Stegostoma tigrinum: one gene and its partner. The protein of the gene in region 1 purifies or fractionates together with the protein of each later gene. This does not show direct contact. Links are inferred from orthologs where the notes say so. Each region holds a gene or a part of one and is shown on either strand. Other genes may lie near its edges.

Evidence for each region.
Region 2: the proteins of rnd3b (region 1) and pleckstrin homology domain-containing family G member 5 purify together in Homo sapiens (affinity purification with western blotting; 3 studies listed by BioGRID and IntAct, with this or other methods). This does not show direct contact. The link is inferred for Stegostoma tigrinum from reciprocal best matches to the Homo sapiens genes RND3 and PLEKHG5.

The regions. Positions count from the first base shown.
Region 1 is NC_081360.1:85,776,237-85,784,985, reverse strand, and holds the start of rnd3b (rho family GTPase 3b), read left to right. Parts: upstream 1-5,406; 5' UTR 5,407-5,797; coding exon 5,798-5,941; intron 5,942-6,250; coding exon 6,251-6,338; intron 6,339-8,749. UniProt on the Homo sapiens protein: Binds GTP but lacks intrinsic GTPase activity and is resistant to Rho-specific GTPase-activating proteins.
Region 2 is NC_081381.1:27,694,532-27,702,506, forward strand, and holds the start of pleckstrin homology domain-containing family G member 5, read left to right. Parts: upstream 1-4,390; 5' UTR 4,391-4,903; coding exon 4,904-4,976; intron 4,977-7,975. UniProt on the Homo sapiens protein: Functions as a guanine exchange factor (GEF) for RAB26 and thus regulates autophagy of synaptic vesicles in axon terminal of motoneurons. Involved in the control of neuronal cell differentiation.

The DNA of each region.
Region 1 (8,749 bases):
GAATAAACAGGGAACTGCAGACCTGACAGCCTTACATTAGTAACAGGGAAAATGCTGCTCATCTGTTATAAAGATAGTGATAAATGGACACTTGGATAAAAGTGACTAGGGCGGCACAGTCAGCATGGATTTCTGAATGGAAATTCATATTCAACAAATTTATTGGAGTTTTTGAGAATATTACTAACAGAATTGAAAAGTGAGAGTCACTGAACACAGTAGGTATTTTGAATCAACATGTTCAGACATGTTGTGACACATTTCCAATGACAGGGCTTGAACCTTCCAGCTTAGAGGTAGAAATGCAACCGCAGTGCACAAGGCCTCTTATTAATATAATGTGCACAGATTTTCAGAAGGATTATGATAAAGAACACTGGGGGTACAGGAAGTTGCTTAGTAAAGTTAGAGCACATGGGATAGGAGGTAATGTGCTGGCATGGATTGCTGATTAATCAACAGACAGAAAACAGTGAGTACGAAAACAAGTGTTCTTCTCATAATTACACACTGTGACTGACTAGACAAGTAGAGCAAAGATCTATACTAGGGCCCAGTTGCTCACAATATATCAATGATTTGAACATCGAGCCAGTCCTGCCTCCAGTCGTGAACGGTGATGGACAATTAAACAACTCACTGGTGGAGAAAACTCCACAAATATCCTCATCCTTAACGAAGGGTGAGCCCAACACATCAGTGCAAAAGATAATGCTGAAACATTTACAGCAATTTTTAGTCAGAAATCCCAGGTGGCTGATCGTTCAGAGTTAATACAGTTTCATGAAGTAGAATTCATAATTAACCAAGTAATTGGTGTTCTTTGAGGTATGGATAAAGGGGATGCACCATGCTTCAATTTCCAGAAGGAATTTGATAAGGTGCCAAATCAAAGGTCATTACAAAATGTAAAGCTTTAGGCATGTGTTACAACATATTGGCATGGATAGAAGTTTAGCTAGCTAACAGGTAGCAAAGAACATGCATAAATTGGTAATTTACTGGCAGTAAGATGTAATGACTAGTATGCCATAGGGGGTCAGTGATAGGGCCTCAAATTTTTATACATTATGTAAATGAGTTGGATAAAGGGACAGGAAAAGCATGATTGCTCAATCTGCTGATGGTCCAGAGACAGGTAAGAAAATAAGTTGAGAAGAAGACATAAGGAAACTACAAGAGGATATAGATAAATTGAGCGCGTGGGCAAAAATTGGGCAAATTGGGTATAATGTTTTCCCATGTGCAACTGTGCATTTCTGCAGGAAGGATTTTAAAAAAAACAAAGCATCAATTACAGAGACCGGAGACGCAGAGGAATCTGGTTCTCCTACTACATTAATTACAAAAAGCTAGTATGCATGTACTGCAAGTAATTAATAATGGTTAATGCATATTGCAAGGGGAATTGATGACAAAAGTAGGGAGGCATTACTTTGGTTGTACATGGCATGGTGATACCAGATCTCGGCTACTGTATATACTATTAGTCTCCTCGTTTAAGGATGAAAGCAATTGCATTGGAAATAGTCCAGCAAAGATTTACCAGACTAAGACCTGGAATTAGTAAATTGTCTAATAAGAACAGTTTGGACAGGATTGGCTTGTATCAGCTGGAGTCGAGAAGAATAAGAGATGAATCAATTGAAACTTGTAAGAGCCTGGGGAGTCTTGATAGAGTACAGATGGAAAGGATGTTTCTTCTTGGGAGAATCTAGAATTTGATATAACTATTTCAAAATAAGGTTCAATTAATACTGAGATATGGAAACCTTTTTTTTCAAATACTGCCAGAAATATACGGATCTCATTTCCTTAGTTAGCAGTGGAAGTAGTGTCTTTGAATATTTTTCGTGCTGGGGGTAGATAGATTCTTGACAAGCAATGGGGTGAAAGGTTATTGCAAGTAATAATAAGTATTCAGGCTAGCCATGATTTAATGAATGGTGTAGCAGGCTCAATGTGCTGAGTGGACTATTTCTGGTCTTAATTCATTTGTATATTTAATAATGTACATTTGTCCTTCATATCTTTGCCGGTTGTAAGAGTTATCCAGTCTTTTCCCACTTTTCAGCTCATGGCTAACAACTCAGTGTATAATGGTACAAGTCCATAGCCAAGTATTTTTTTCAACGTACTAAAGATTTCCATCTCTATCATCACTCCAGATAGTGAATTTCAGAGACCCACTATCCTCTAAATGAAAAAAAAATCCTCAACTACTCATTCGCTGTTCTACCTTTAAAAGAAAGTGTTCAATGATCAATTCTCAGCTAATGGAAATAGGTTCTCTTGAGCGACTCTGCCATAATTTTCTACATCGTAGTTATAGCTCCCTTCAGCCTCTCATACAGACCCAAACCATCCAATCTTTCTCCACAGTAAAATTCTATTTTCCTGGTAATAACCTCATAAAACTCTTCTGTACGCTTTAGTGTCATCAAGTCATTTCTGTACTATTGTGAACAAGAGCTGTATGTCTTTTTTTGTATTTATCGTGCGTAAACTTCTTAATCATGATTCCTCCCTCACTTCTTTCCACAATCCCCACGCCCGATTAAAGCTAAATCATTGGAATATACCACGAACAGCATGGCACCCCCTACTGACCCCTATGGAAACCTATTAGTCACGGCCTTCCATTCACAGAAGTGTCAGTTCAGCACAATCCTTTGTTTCTTAGCACTGAGCCTAGTTTGGATCCACTTGACATGTCATAAATAGGTCATTCAGCCCATCTTGTCTGTGCCAGGTCTCTGCAGGAGCAACTCAGCTAATCGAACTCTCCTGCATTTTTCCTGTTGCTATACAAATATTAACACCACCACAACCTCTGGCATTGGTAATGTGGAAACATCACAGTCCCCACATCACTAGGTGGATAGGAAAGTTTTGCCTTGTGTCGCTGTTATGTCCAATCATCTTAAAGCTGTTCATTGCGGATCCAGATCCTAGAAAGAGTTCTTTCTCTGCATCTACTCTGTTCAGAATCCTCAAGATTTTAAATTTTATCAAATTTCCCCTCACCCGGCCTTTACCCAAGGAGAACAGTCCCAGTTTCTCCAACGTATCCACAAAACTGAAGATCCGCAACCATAAATCCACTCTTGCAAATCTTTTCTGCATCTTCCCCAGTGGCTTTACGTCCTTACTAAATGGTGCGGTATAGTGTACTGATGAGGGGTGGGACCATGACAAAATCCCTGCTATGGTAGACTACACCTAAACGTGCGACCTATCCTCCTTGCCACCTTCTCCAGAGAAATGCTCTTTTCCCCTCAGCTAAAATCAAACAAAATAATCGCTGGCTAGTGGGAGTTCTGTTGTGCAATAGACTAAGAACACACTTTCTTACGTTTACCACAATGACTATGCTTCAGGAGTATTTCACTGACTGTCGAGTGTTGGGATCGTTAGGAATGCATTCAAGGCTGAGGCAAGATTTTTTTTAGTTCTCGTTTTCAGTCCAAACATTTGTAAGAGTTAGGTATTGCGGAAAATACAGGGGTGTTATATGAGAGAACAAATAACTGCAAAAGTGACATTCCATACGATTCAGGGTGGACAGGGGAAGCAGGACATATCGTGTGACCCACCCCTTGTATGATCTGTTTCTAATAATCCTGTTCCCGACGAGGAGTCGCCGCTGGGAACGCACCTTCCGATTTAAAATGAATGAAACAGAGCTGGTAATATTCACGGTCTGCGTATTTCCGATACAGATTTAATGACGGAACCGCCCGTCAAGTGGAATCCCAAAAACATCCTGGTTAAACTTTGCTTATGTTCCCGTCATGGAAAACAGACAGAAACTTGTTCCTTTCCCCGCCTTCTCGAAATAGATTACTGAGCAGCCTTATTGTTCCATAGATCCCGCCCAGAGTTTATCAGCGGGGATTTCCCTGACCCCTGGTGTTCTCAGTACTACATTTCTGTTTTAATATCAGCGTAAAACCACCGGCTCTTTGATCTCACTCTTCCTGACCTCCGTTTTGAGCTTTTACTGCCATTTCTTTGTCGTGCCTTTCCCGTTGTGAATTCCAGCCACAGCCCTTCTCTCAAATAATTCTCTTCCACCACTACTTCTGGCTGTTGCTATAGCCAGATATCTTCACCCATTTTTGTATTGTTAAATTTCGTGAAGATCTCCATCCTCACATCGCCTCGTTCTACAGGTTAACTGGGCATCCAATTTACTCTGTCCAACTCTCCGGCTGCAGAACAGATTTTATTTTAGACTGAAGAGGGCGTCAGATTAAAATACCGGGGGACTTTTTGCTTGCCTTTTTTTCAGCGTGGTGCTGTCGTGCAGCATATCCAGAAAAAAAATCATTTCTGTCGCTGTTGTTGTACAGTAGTGGCGTTTCCATCCTTCGACTCGTTAAATAACGTTTCCTTGTTTCAATTTTGACTCATACGTACACCTTAATAACAGGGTTACAGGCTTAGTCTGAATTTGACTTCTCCTGACTTTAAGACGTTGAGGGAACTGCCATGTATTCCTAGCATTTTTTTTAAAGACTTACAATTATTTCTTTCTGAATCTTTTTCAGTCTTCCGCACCAATGATACGACCGAACGATGAGACCAATAGGCGAAGCTTGGTGTTGCAGATAATCCAGATAATCGAACATAAAGCAGAATGGATGATTAGAAGTAAACAAGTCCCCCTTTTTGCTAGAATAACTCCACACAAGAAGTCTAAACTTTCTTGTGCTAGAAATAATTTTGCGAAGATGATCTGAAAACAATTACAACATCCACACAGTAATGACTTTATTCATAGCATCTGTGTCATTTCGACCTTATTAGGCACGTACTTTGTTCTACTCTTCTGCATAACCCTTGATTCCTATCAGGACAGATATAATAAATCGAAAAGTAATAGCACACCTTTGGAGCAGGTGTGACTTGAATCCAAGCCTCCTGGCTCAGAAGTAGGGACGCTACCACTGCACCACAAGATATGTTCGGAATTAAATCAAAGCAGCGATATTTAATCTCTGAAAGGGTTAAGAGTAGGACCTGAATGGTAATACAGATGGAATCCAAAAGTGACCACATGAAGCTGAGGTCTGCATCATAGGGCTCGGTTGGTTAGCAATGGGGAAAAAAATGGGAAATTCTGCGCTTGCAACATAGTTGGTTATGAGAATATGACCCTTTTCCCTGCAGTAAGCAGTGGGAAGCAATGAACTGCCGGCAGCACACTGACTGATTCTGGGCAAGGTGGCTCCTCCGAATGGCAAGGGAGGTAGCCAATGGCAACGCGTCAGGGTGCGTCACAATCACGCGGTGAGCCAATCGGCTTTGGAGGAAACGGGCACGGTCTCTGGTCCTCTCAATGGCGTGAGCGAGGACCCAATCAGCGACGAGAAGAGGCGGGATTGATTGGCGTCGTTCATTGAGAGGGTTGTAGTCCGGAGCTTCAGGCTTGGAATAGAGAAAACTACGCTTCTGGACTACTAAGCCTCAGCCTGATTCTAGCTCCACCCTTAGTCTATGTTGCTGAACGGGGCTGGCCCAGAGGTCCCCACGGACTTGGAGATGTTATATGAGAAGGTGCACGGACCCAAAGCAGCAGTAGTTGTGGTTGGAGCTTCCAGTGCTGGGGAGGCGGGTGGATAGATACATAAATATAAGCCGCAAGACTCTCCGCTTTTTTTTCCCCCAGAGAAGAAGTCAGTGCTCCTCACATCACCGTCTACTTTTAAACGGCTGTTTGCCACCAGCGTTTTGCAATCCGGCGATATTTTGTGTTTGATTTTTTTTTAACCCTCACGCCAAATCTACGTCAATGAAGGAAAGAAGGCCAAGCCAGAAGCTTGCTAAAAACGCAATGGATAATCAAACCGTGAAATGCAAAATAGTTGTGGTGGGAGATAGTCAATGTGGAAAAACCGCTCTGCTGCACGTTTTTGCCAAGGATTGTTTCCCGGAGGTATGTTGTTATATCTGAATGAACGCCTATGTGAAATGACTAATGCTTCTTTTTGAGTTATAATTTTTCCAAAAACCCGACGCATTTTTTTTCTTTTGTCATTGTGAATGAATTTTTAACATGTGTCCCTGAATCAACGTTCTTAACGGCTGGGATTCATTTTACGCAATTTAACAACTTTCAGTTCCTTTTCAAAACGAATGTAACACGTGCAATTGTTTTAAATACTTTCTTTTTTTTGCTTTTTGCGTTCTTCTTATGCCATCTGTTTTCAAAATGTTTTGTGTCTTCTACTTTCTTTGTGCCCAGAGCTATGTGCCCACGGTCTTCGAAAATTACACAGCCAGCTTTGAAATAGAAACACAAAGGATAGAGCTGAGTCTCTGGGATACTTCAGGTAAGGAACATTTGAGGTCTAGGACTGTCAAGTACTGTTGGATGAACCCAGGCAGCATCTTAAAACACCTTCCAGGCTTCAACCATAATCGGTTGAGTAACCTGGCCCTTCTCCTTCAAGGGAACAGTTGGGTTTTATCCCCGACCCAATGGGATGTTTGGGAGACTGATATTCCAACTAGATTTTGTGAACACCGCTGACCGAAGGCTGAACAAATGGGGCTGGTGTCAGTACGTGGTTTGCCTTTATACAACTCAGACCCGGCTGGTTTAAATCGCATTCTCTCGGCATTCCAGGTGTGAAGGCAGGTTGACCCACTGATGTTTTATAATGGTCAGGATCTTAAAAGGAAAAAAAAGTCGCCCGCCGAGAGCACTCCTCCTGCCTGTCGCGTTGCTCCAGTTGTCTAAGTTTCCAATCTAAAGCATTGAAATCGGGGAATGCACATTCCTTTCAATTTTCCGGTTCAGTTGGGGTATTTACGGGCACGGCGGGAGGGGAGAGCTAAATTGGGAAGATGCCAGTTCCTTACTCCTCCGGAGGTTTCCCTTTTTTTCCACTCCAGAGACTTGAAACGTTTGTAGGGGAAGAGAAGAGAAATGGACTTACCCGTGCGAAAATTTAATTGCACCTCAAGTCTCGGAAACCATCCATCCACCGCATTTCCACCCTGTTTATTTACTGATCATAATGATGGTTAAACCTCTGCGTGGGCGCATTTCATGCAATGATTATATTACCGTTTCGAAGAATTCTGGAAGCGATCGTGGTGAGATGGTCCAAAATTCTTCAGCCAGAATTTGTGAGCGTTCAAAGTGTTGTCTTCTCGGGGCGCATCAAAGATTAAGCGCGGAGGCGAATTGAACGCCTCGATCACCGCACTGGAGTTTGATTGCTTGCAAAACTCTGTGCCCATTAACTATTCTTTAAACGGTTTCCATCTCCGTGATCCCACGGCGCTGGAATGTCCCCTTTCCAGACTGGTATGTCAAGAATTGCGTTGACGAGCCATCAAAAACTGCCCGCATCTCAAATTCGAGCGGCTGCGAGAGAGAGAGAATGTCGCCCCCTGTTATAGATCAGTCGCTATGTCCATTCTCTCTGCTTCCCTCTCCACACAATGTCGCTCGTTACATATTAGGGAGGTTTTTTATGACTCCAAATTTTACACGCTACTCGCTACTTCGCTACTCCAAGCTTAAAAACTGTTCATTTGGACAAGAATAAGATTCTTCCTCCGTCATATTTCTTAATTCTCCCGCTGTATGTACCCATTTTATACCCAATGTACTATATGAGATTCCTTTTGGGCAAGATGATCTTAATTTTGAAATTATGCCTGTTTTAAGGTACTGATAGCAAAATTCAGACAGTAGTTATAAATCCTATAAGCAGACAACTCAAAACACCTAACAATTAAAGCTGACTTTCTCAAAGTCTCTCCTTTTCTTTTAAGTTTGTGAATCTGAATAGCTAACTGAATACATGTATCCTCTAAGTTAGGTATCTTAACTAACTGTGGAGAGCAGTCAGAAGATTTGATTTTGAAACTTCCCATTTTACAATAATGGAACACCTTGGATGGGGCATTCCAATTTTATTGTACTAAAAATGAAATTTAATGTTTGCTTAGATTTTAGTTTCCTCTCTCTGGGAAGCAGGAACACTGTTTTTCTTTGAAAAGTGATGTGGTAGGAATATCTTGACTTGGATACGCTTTCACTGCATGTGATAATCTGAGTGTTGTTCCTGATAATATTTGGTTAACTTCTCTTACTCCACAGCGTTGACTATCATGGGCTGGTTAATTACTCATCCCTCTTAGTAAATTTAATGACCCAGGACAGTTATGTAGTTCCAAACACATTAAGCATCCCTACTGAAACAAAGCAAGAGCTTTCAAACAATTTATGAAGGCAAGTGTGGTGCTTGTTATTGGGGCACCTCCCCTCTAATACCAAAGCAACGGCTTTACCAGAGATCAGAACTCCCCGTGCACCCAAGATTCCTATATTCCTTGTTCTCTAATTCAAAGTAGCACTGACAGAGGCTTCTGAGAAGATGTACCATTTACGTTTGAGGTCCAGCAGTGATAATGAACTTGGCCCATCTTTTGTTAAATGGGCTCATTTGTGTAAATACACACACTGTGATGCATGGTTTGAGAATAACTCCCTCAAAATACTCAAGGATTGTTTTAAGCTTGTAATTAAGTTATATTTCTTTAGAGATTATATAACCTAATGACAGTGAACATATATCAGAGTTTCTTGCAAATTTCAGAAATAAAATTTAATGTAGTGTGTGAATTGATGTGAAGATTTCTAATGAGGTTAAGCAAAAATAATCACAATGTAGATGATTCCATTACAAGATTCTTGAGCTGCTAAAATGACTGCCTTGCTATTTAT
Region 2 (7,975 bases), on another chromosome or scaffold:
GCACATCTTTGGACTGTGGGAGGAAACCGGAGCACCCGGAGGGAACCCATGCAGACACTGGGAAAACAGGGAAAATGTGCAAACTCCACACAGACAGTCACCTGAGGCTGGAATCAAACCCAGGTCCCTGGTGCTGTGAGGCTGCAGAACTAACCATTGAGCCACAGTGCCGCCCCTAAGCCATCGGTGAATTTAACATTTTCCCAATCAATAGAAACCTTCAGTTTTTCAGACCTTGATGGAAAATGGTCAAAAAGCATAGCATATTTATTCAAATGTAGCAGTAATATAGGAAATATTGAAATTGCAATAACTTCAAAACTTGTTCTGTTATGCTGTGAAAAATTATAACATTTTTCCCAGCATTACCTAAAGAACAGATACTCAAACTGGGTTTTTTAGGTTCAGTGGGTGCTGGTTCCCATAAATACCAAAACATGCATTCCAAAGACATTGACACTCACTGGGGTATGGGTCTCATGAGCTCACTGTCTGGATTTCAGCATCCACACACACTGTCGCTTGCTGGAGTATGAATCCTGCAGGCACTTGTTTCAGCTGAGGTATTGGTTTCACAGGTATTGGCTCACGTGGATGTGGGTTCCATGGTTGTCAGCTGTCATGGACAACATTTCACGTGCAGTTGAACAAATTTGCTGTTTGTACAATTGCTTTACTAACAACGAGCTTACCGAAAGACCAAATTTTCCACATTGAAATTTAAAATCTGGATCCATTCCATCAACCCTTACTAACTGAAGCAGGCTTTCATAATTGGCGAGTGGCCTGGCCTTGCTGGGAGCAGGGATGAAAGAGTAGTGAATGTCAGTCAGACTCAGAATCTTGTCTCCCTTTGGGAGTGATTTACATCTTGAAGCTGATTATTGGATAGGTGTTAACTGTGGCCCCGTTGTAGCAATTCTGTCAATATTTAATGTTGAGATCATGCTAGGCCTCCTAAGGAAAGAAATCTGACTACACAATGCAGTCATCTGTTATGTGCTACGCCTAATGTTCCCTCTGAAGAATGGTATGCTGAAGAAATACATTCTGCGATATAGAAATGTGCTTCTCGTTCCTTCAGCCAGTCCACTGCCTTCACACCTGCTCATTGCACCAGAAACAAGGAACTGCTAGAAATCCCCCTTTTAACTATGTGTTTCTATGATCAAAGGCTAGCATCTGGGACTGGTGGGAGATGCCAGCCTGACCTGGGCAGCACCTTCAAGTACCTGCACAGTGTTGAAGCCAAGATATTTTCCTGGTTGAGGTAAGAGGGTGACAACCAATGGTTGATACAGTGTGGAGAGCCTCCATGTTGATAAAGTTGCTCAAGGTTTTGAAGAGGGGAAAGACATGTGGTTCTGAAGAAGGGTCACCGGACCTGAAATGTTAACTCTGTTTTCTCCTCCACAGATGCTGCCAGACCTACTGAGCTTTTCCAGCAACTTTGTTTTTGTTCCTGATTTACAGCATCCGCAATTCTTTTGGTTTTTGTCAAAGGCTTCTGAATCTTACTTGGCAAGTAGCTACCTCCCAATTTCAATTTGCCTTCTTTAATGGCATTACCTATGACTTAATGTCGCTCCTGTGAGCCATGAACTCAGGCTGGATTGCCTCAGTAAACACAGCAATGGCGGCCTCTCTGTTACACTCTCCTTTTCCACTTGTCACCTCCATGGGAAAGGAGAAAGAAGTTCAATGCAGCTCCTGAAGCCAGAAAGCAGCTCCTCTGCGTCATGAGTTTTGTTCTTATTTTATTGTCGAGTACAAATGCTTAGTTGTGGAAGTTGAAAGCAAAAAAAAGACCAGGTCAGCCCTGAAATGGATACTAAATTTTGGTGCACTTGCAATACACATAGTACTGTAATAATTGCATTAAATTGAAAAGCAAGGTGGTGGCTGATGTTGTTATTCAGGAATGTTGCCTTTTATTAAATAAATCTGCACCCAAACTAATGTATAAGAATGCACTTTAAACATAGGACATCTATAACAAAGGAAAAGTTTGACTAGACGTTTCTACCCCAATCACATTCTGCCAATTACAGTCCCTGATCATTATCCTGCCTCTCTGCTTCCTGCTGCTTAGCTAGTCTTTTAGAATAGAAACTAAGACAATCGGAGGCTCACTGATGATGTTACCTAGAATGGTGACGAATCGTCTGAAAACTAACCTTCCAGCTCAGCGAGCAAACTCACATCCAGAAACTCAACCTGAGCTATAAATCTTCTCAAAAATCGCTAGAAACAAAGAACTGGAGAAATTCAGCAAGTCTGGCAACATCAATGGAGAGAAAGACAGTTAATGTTTTCAGTCTGATTTGATTTCTCCAGAGCTGAACGGAACTGGAGAGTGATTGTTTTTATGTTGCTGACAAAGATGGAGGTTGCGTAGTTGGAACAAATTGCGAGGGAGCCCAGAGTGAAAGACAAGAGGGGTGCTAATGTTGGTGATGGAGATGTAAAACAGGTATAAATGAATGTGATTAAAGGAGAAAATGGGTCCAGTCTATTGAGACAAATGTCAGCATTACAGGATACATTGGCAGTATGTAAGAAAAATAGAGACAGAGGTCATGCTCCAAAGTTGTGGAATTCGGTGTTGAGTCCTGAAGGCTGTGAATTACCCAAGTGGAAAATGAGGTGTTCGGATAGCTTGTATTCAGTTTTGTTGGAGGCCCCACTCAGAAAAGTTGGCATGGGAGCAAGGTGCTTTATCGCAGTGACAAACAACAGGAAGGCCAGAGTTGGTCTGACAGACAAGAGGGGAGGTATTTCACCAAGCGATAACTACCATCTGGTCTTTGCAAATGCATTCATCCTAAAGTGAATATTTTCATTATTCATATATCAGTGTTACTGCAGCGACAGTCCCTCGTTCTAATTGGATTCCCAGTTTTAACATTCAGTTACCTATTTCAGGACAATCTTCTGAGCTCCACTGATTTTTGTTTGTTTTTGTGGTTTGACCATGGGTTGAGGGAGGGAGTAAGTGTGACCACTCAATGCTGACCACTAACTCCTGCTGGAAAGTTGATGGGTAGAATTGTACTGTGTGTGATGATTTCTGGTCAAGTTTCCTGTTGATGCATATCATCTGTGGTCACAGCTGATGAATGGCATGGTGAGATGTCAGGGGGAGAAGAAATGTGACAAAGAAACTTCAGGAGTCAGCATTTTCAGGAGGGGAAATGACTTAAACCCCAGCGAGATTCCATACCTTCAAGAGAGCAGGGGTATGAACTACTGTGAGAGCTGGCACCTTCAGGAGAAGAGGGAGGTACTGAATCTTGTGTAGACCAACACCTTCTGGTTAGGAAGCTCTTGAACACATCTGAGAGTCAGTGCCTTCATGAGGGCAGGGAACCTTAATCCCAGTGAAGAGAGTGGAGTAAACACTTTATTTGTGCTGTGAATTTTCCCAGTAGAATCCAGCACTGAGCTGTACTCGTTTGTGGGGTCCCCAATGACTGTAAGTTGCTTCACTATGCTGATCGTTGCTTTTCTTTGGTTCATTGTATGGGATAGATCCAACCAGGAACCCCTTCACTCCACCCTCAGTGAAATCCTGGCTCGCGATTCAAACCAGCTCAACGATTTAGCTTCCTTTTAGCCTTTTTGCAGATGTAATGAGGTACAATCCACAGGAAACTCTTTGTTAAAGCACACTTTACAAAAACAGGAGTCTTGGACATGTCTTTTAAAGTTACAGTTTTTTGAAAAAATATACCTAACAGTTTGATTTAGGAATGAACTGGTGAAATTGTTTTTACTTTTATTTAATTGGAAAATTTTGGAGAAAATTGTTGAGCTTTAGAACCCAATGCCGGATTATCTCCTGGAAACCTTTGTGCTGCCTTTTTAAGAGACAGAAAGCTTCAGCCGATTTAATTATCTCCATATGTTGATCCTGGCTGTTGCAGAAGGACTTGGCACAAGAATCGGACTGCACAGTGGCAGAAAATAAATATGGGCACCGCATGTTTGTGGCTGGGGAGAAAATTCCATCTCTGAAATATTTGGGCTGCTTCAGACAGATCCTGTAAAGGTAAACATATTGGAGAGGAAATTAATCTGCAGTCTAGTCAGAGGAACAGGACGCGGCAGTGGTATACGAAACAGAGACAAACTTTCAGGGTCTGCACAGCGAGACAGTGCTCAGGCTGCAGAATGGTACTACCGTATTGTGAAGAACTCTTGCTGCTATGGTGATGGGCATCATGTGGGTGATGCTGAAGAAATCGAACTTTGTGAATGTTGGTCAGATATTGGAGGGTTTGGCTTCAGTGAAACTGTCTGAGTGAGTCAAGTTAAAAAAAGAATAGCCAAAAGGGGAGCAACAGAGAAAAAGGGAGGGACGGAGGGAAAGAAAGGGTGAGAAGAGAAAAGGGAGTGGCATAAAGGGAAAAGGAACGACAGAAAGGAAGCAATGCAGTGAAAGAAAAAAGTACAGTGAGAAGAAGATGCAGAAGAAAAGAGAGGCAGTGAAGGAAAACGAAAGAAACGGGGTAAAAGGTGGATTATGAGAGAAAAACGTTGAACAGTGAAAACCGAATAAAGACAGAGGAAAGCAAAAAGAGATTTTAAAGAAAGGATGAATGAGAGTGATACTCAGGTCTGCTAGAAAGGAGCAAAATGAGAGTGGGAAGGGAGACCACCAAAATGAGACAGGCACCAAATAAGGAAGACTGACAGCAATACAGGCAAGATTGAGTGAAATGGAAGATAACGAAATATACTGACCCTGGGAATTTGATGAGAAGAATTTAGTCCCTCCTGTTGAAGCTTGTGGATATTTTTAGGTTGATGTGTGGAGAGAAAGTTACTCTAAAGCTGCCTGTCCAGCAGTTGTTTGGAGCTCAGCATTTGACTTAAGGTGGCATTGTCTGCAGGGCTGACCATGAACTCTGTCCTTTATAAATACGGATCCCCACCTCGAAACTGGTTTAACCTGCGCCTCAGAATGCAGCCAAGTAAGTACTCTGATTAACCCCTAATAATGGGCCAGTGACTTCAGAGGGTGCAATTGGGAAAAATGAAATTATTTTATTAAACACATTGCTTTGATAGAAATTTTCAGCGCAAACTTTCAACTTAAATTGGAGATATGTTTGCAAAGAAGAAATTTCCAAGGCAATGAACATGGTGTGGGACTAACTGGATAGCTCTTTCAAAGAACCAGGCACAGGCTTCATCCTGTGATGTAAAACTCTGAGAATTTAAACTTGCCTAAGTATTACTGCAATTATAATCAAGCGTTCAATAGCAGTTTGTTTGTTCATTCATTATTGTTGGCCATTAAAATTATTAAACTTAACCTTTCTGTCAAGGAAGCTACTGATGAGGTCCCTGTGATGGCAGTGTGCTTTGTTTTAGTTGCTAAAGGAGCCATATCAGTTGCAACCATGAACTATTCAGATTAGAATAATTGTTGAACATGTGTTATACATCTTTATGTAAGATTTATACTTAACATTAAACTTCTGGAACCAGCTGGTTTTAAAATTTTGTCTCCTCCAATCCAGAAGGAGCTGGCTTTCACTGTGATTTGACTCCATTCTTCTCTTGAAGATGTTGAATCTCACTTCTGTTCCCTTTGAGCTCCCATCCCCACTGCCAGCCTCTTCCCCCACCTTGGAAAACAGAACAGTCTCAGATGCGCTGCCTTCCAAAGTCAAATTCCCTGATCAATTTGCTTTACTGGGATGGCATTCCAAGAATGATCAGTACCTATAAAACCCGCAACCCAACAATGATCAGTACAGAGTATAAAATGTGAGGCTGGATGAACACAGCCAGGCCCAGCAGCATCTCAGGAGCACAAAAGCTGACGCTTCAGGCCTAGACCCTTCCTGTTCATCCAGCCTCACATTTTATTATCCTGGATTCTCCAGCATCTGCAGTTCCCATTATCAATGATCAATACAGAGATGGTGGGGGAAATCAATGGATTAATGAGATATTAAACAGGGAGTAGATGACGAGACAGAAAATCAGGAGCATAATCCATACAGTTTTTCTCTGTGAATCATTTCTTGAGCTGTTTTTACAGATAACACAATCTAAAAGCCAAATACTGTGAATGCAGGAAATCTGAAATAAACAAAATGCTAGAAATGTTCAGCAGGTCCGGCAGCATCTGAGGAGAGGGAAACAGGGCTAATGTTGACAGTAATGATCTGGGATATTAGAACATAGAACATTACAGCACAGTACAGGCCCTTCAGCCCTCGATGCTGCACCGACCTGTGAAACCAATCTGAAGCCCATCTAACCTACACTATTCCATTATCATCCATATGCTTATCCAATGACCATTTAAAGGCCCTTGAAGTTGGCGAGTCTACTACTGTTGCAGGCAGGGTATTTGAAGCCCTTACTACTCTCTGAGTAAAGAATCTACCTCTGACATCTGTCCTCTATTAACTCTATTTTCTGTTGTCACAAATGTCACCTGATCTAGGTATTTTTCATTTTTTAATCTGTCATTCAGTATTGTTCATAGAAGCCTCTTAACAAACCAGAAGTCTAGCCACAGTTACTAATTTTAGTATAAAACTTCTCAGATATTTTAATCAACCTGCTCAGGAATGTTACGACACATCTCTGGAGCGGGTGGGACTCGAATCTGGGCCTCCTGGCTCAGAGGTGGAGATACTACCACTGCACTACCAGACCCCTTATCTAAAGCTGTCTAGCTCACAACACAGGTAAGCGTATGTCACATGTGGATATTTACTTCCACACTTGCCACCCATTCATAACCAAGGAACTAAAACACTTAATGAACAACACTACTCACGCAGCACTACTTTTGTTTTACCATTTCACCATAAATTGCTAGAAAGTTTAAAGTTCACAAATGTGCATTTCACAAGATACGATCATCGAGATCATGGGCTCAACAAAGTGGCCAATTACTAATTTACTAATCAGAAATGCAATTATCCACATCTGGAGTCTGAATTAGTCAGTTGTGGCTCACTTATTGGACAACACTGCTGTATTTTCCAGCCAGGACATTCTCCTTCCTGTTTTCGGAAAAAGGGGAGAAGCCATTTGGAAAGGAGAGTTTCCCGGCGGTCTATACGGAACGTGCTGTTGGCTGCTATGGAACCATACTCCCCTTAACATTCTGTCCATGACTTTTCCTGCATTGAAATAGGACACCCAACTGAAGGAATAACACTCGATGATTTGCAACAAATATTTTATTTGAATGGCCTGTTAGCAGTAAATTTCATTTCCGTTTAACCTGCTCTGGGACCTGCGGAACTGCATCCAGTTTTGGGCACGACAACTAAAGAATAATATATTGATTTTGGAGACAGTACAACACAGATTCCCCAGAACAATATCAGGGCTCAGCGATCACAGGTTGCATAAACTTCCCTCTTATTCACATGAGTTTAAAAATTCAAAGGGGGATCCAATTGGGACATTTTGAATGAAAAGGAATTTAATTAGTTTGAAATAGAGGGAAAAAAATCCTTGCTGGGGTAACCTAGAACAAGGGGACACAACCTAGCCATATAGGATCAAATTAAGGTAGCACTTCTTCACATAAAAGTTCATAGAAATCTGGAACGGTCTCCTTTAAATGACTGGATGCTGAGGATCAATTGGGATTTTTCAGATGGAGATCAATGGATTTTTTTAAAATAAGGGTAACCAGGGACATTGTGCACAGTTGGTTAAATTTACTTAAGGTGCAGATCTGCTATGACCCTAGTTGAAATACTTTAGTGGACTTGAAGGGATGAATAGTCTCGTCATATGTCAATCTAACAAGTTTAAGGAATTGGATGACCTTCCCTATAGGTATGATGGGCTGCATAGCTTCTTCTTCTTCTGGAACAGGCTGAATGTCCCCCTCGTGTTCCTGCAAAACAGGCTTAAGCAGGTGAGGAGCTTCTCGTTCCTCTATAACAGGATGAAGAAGCTGAATAGTCTCCTTATTCCTCCATAACAT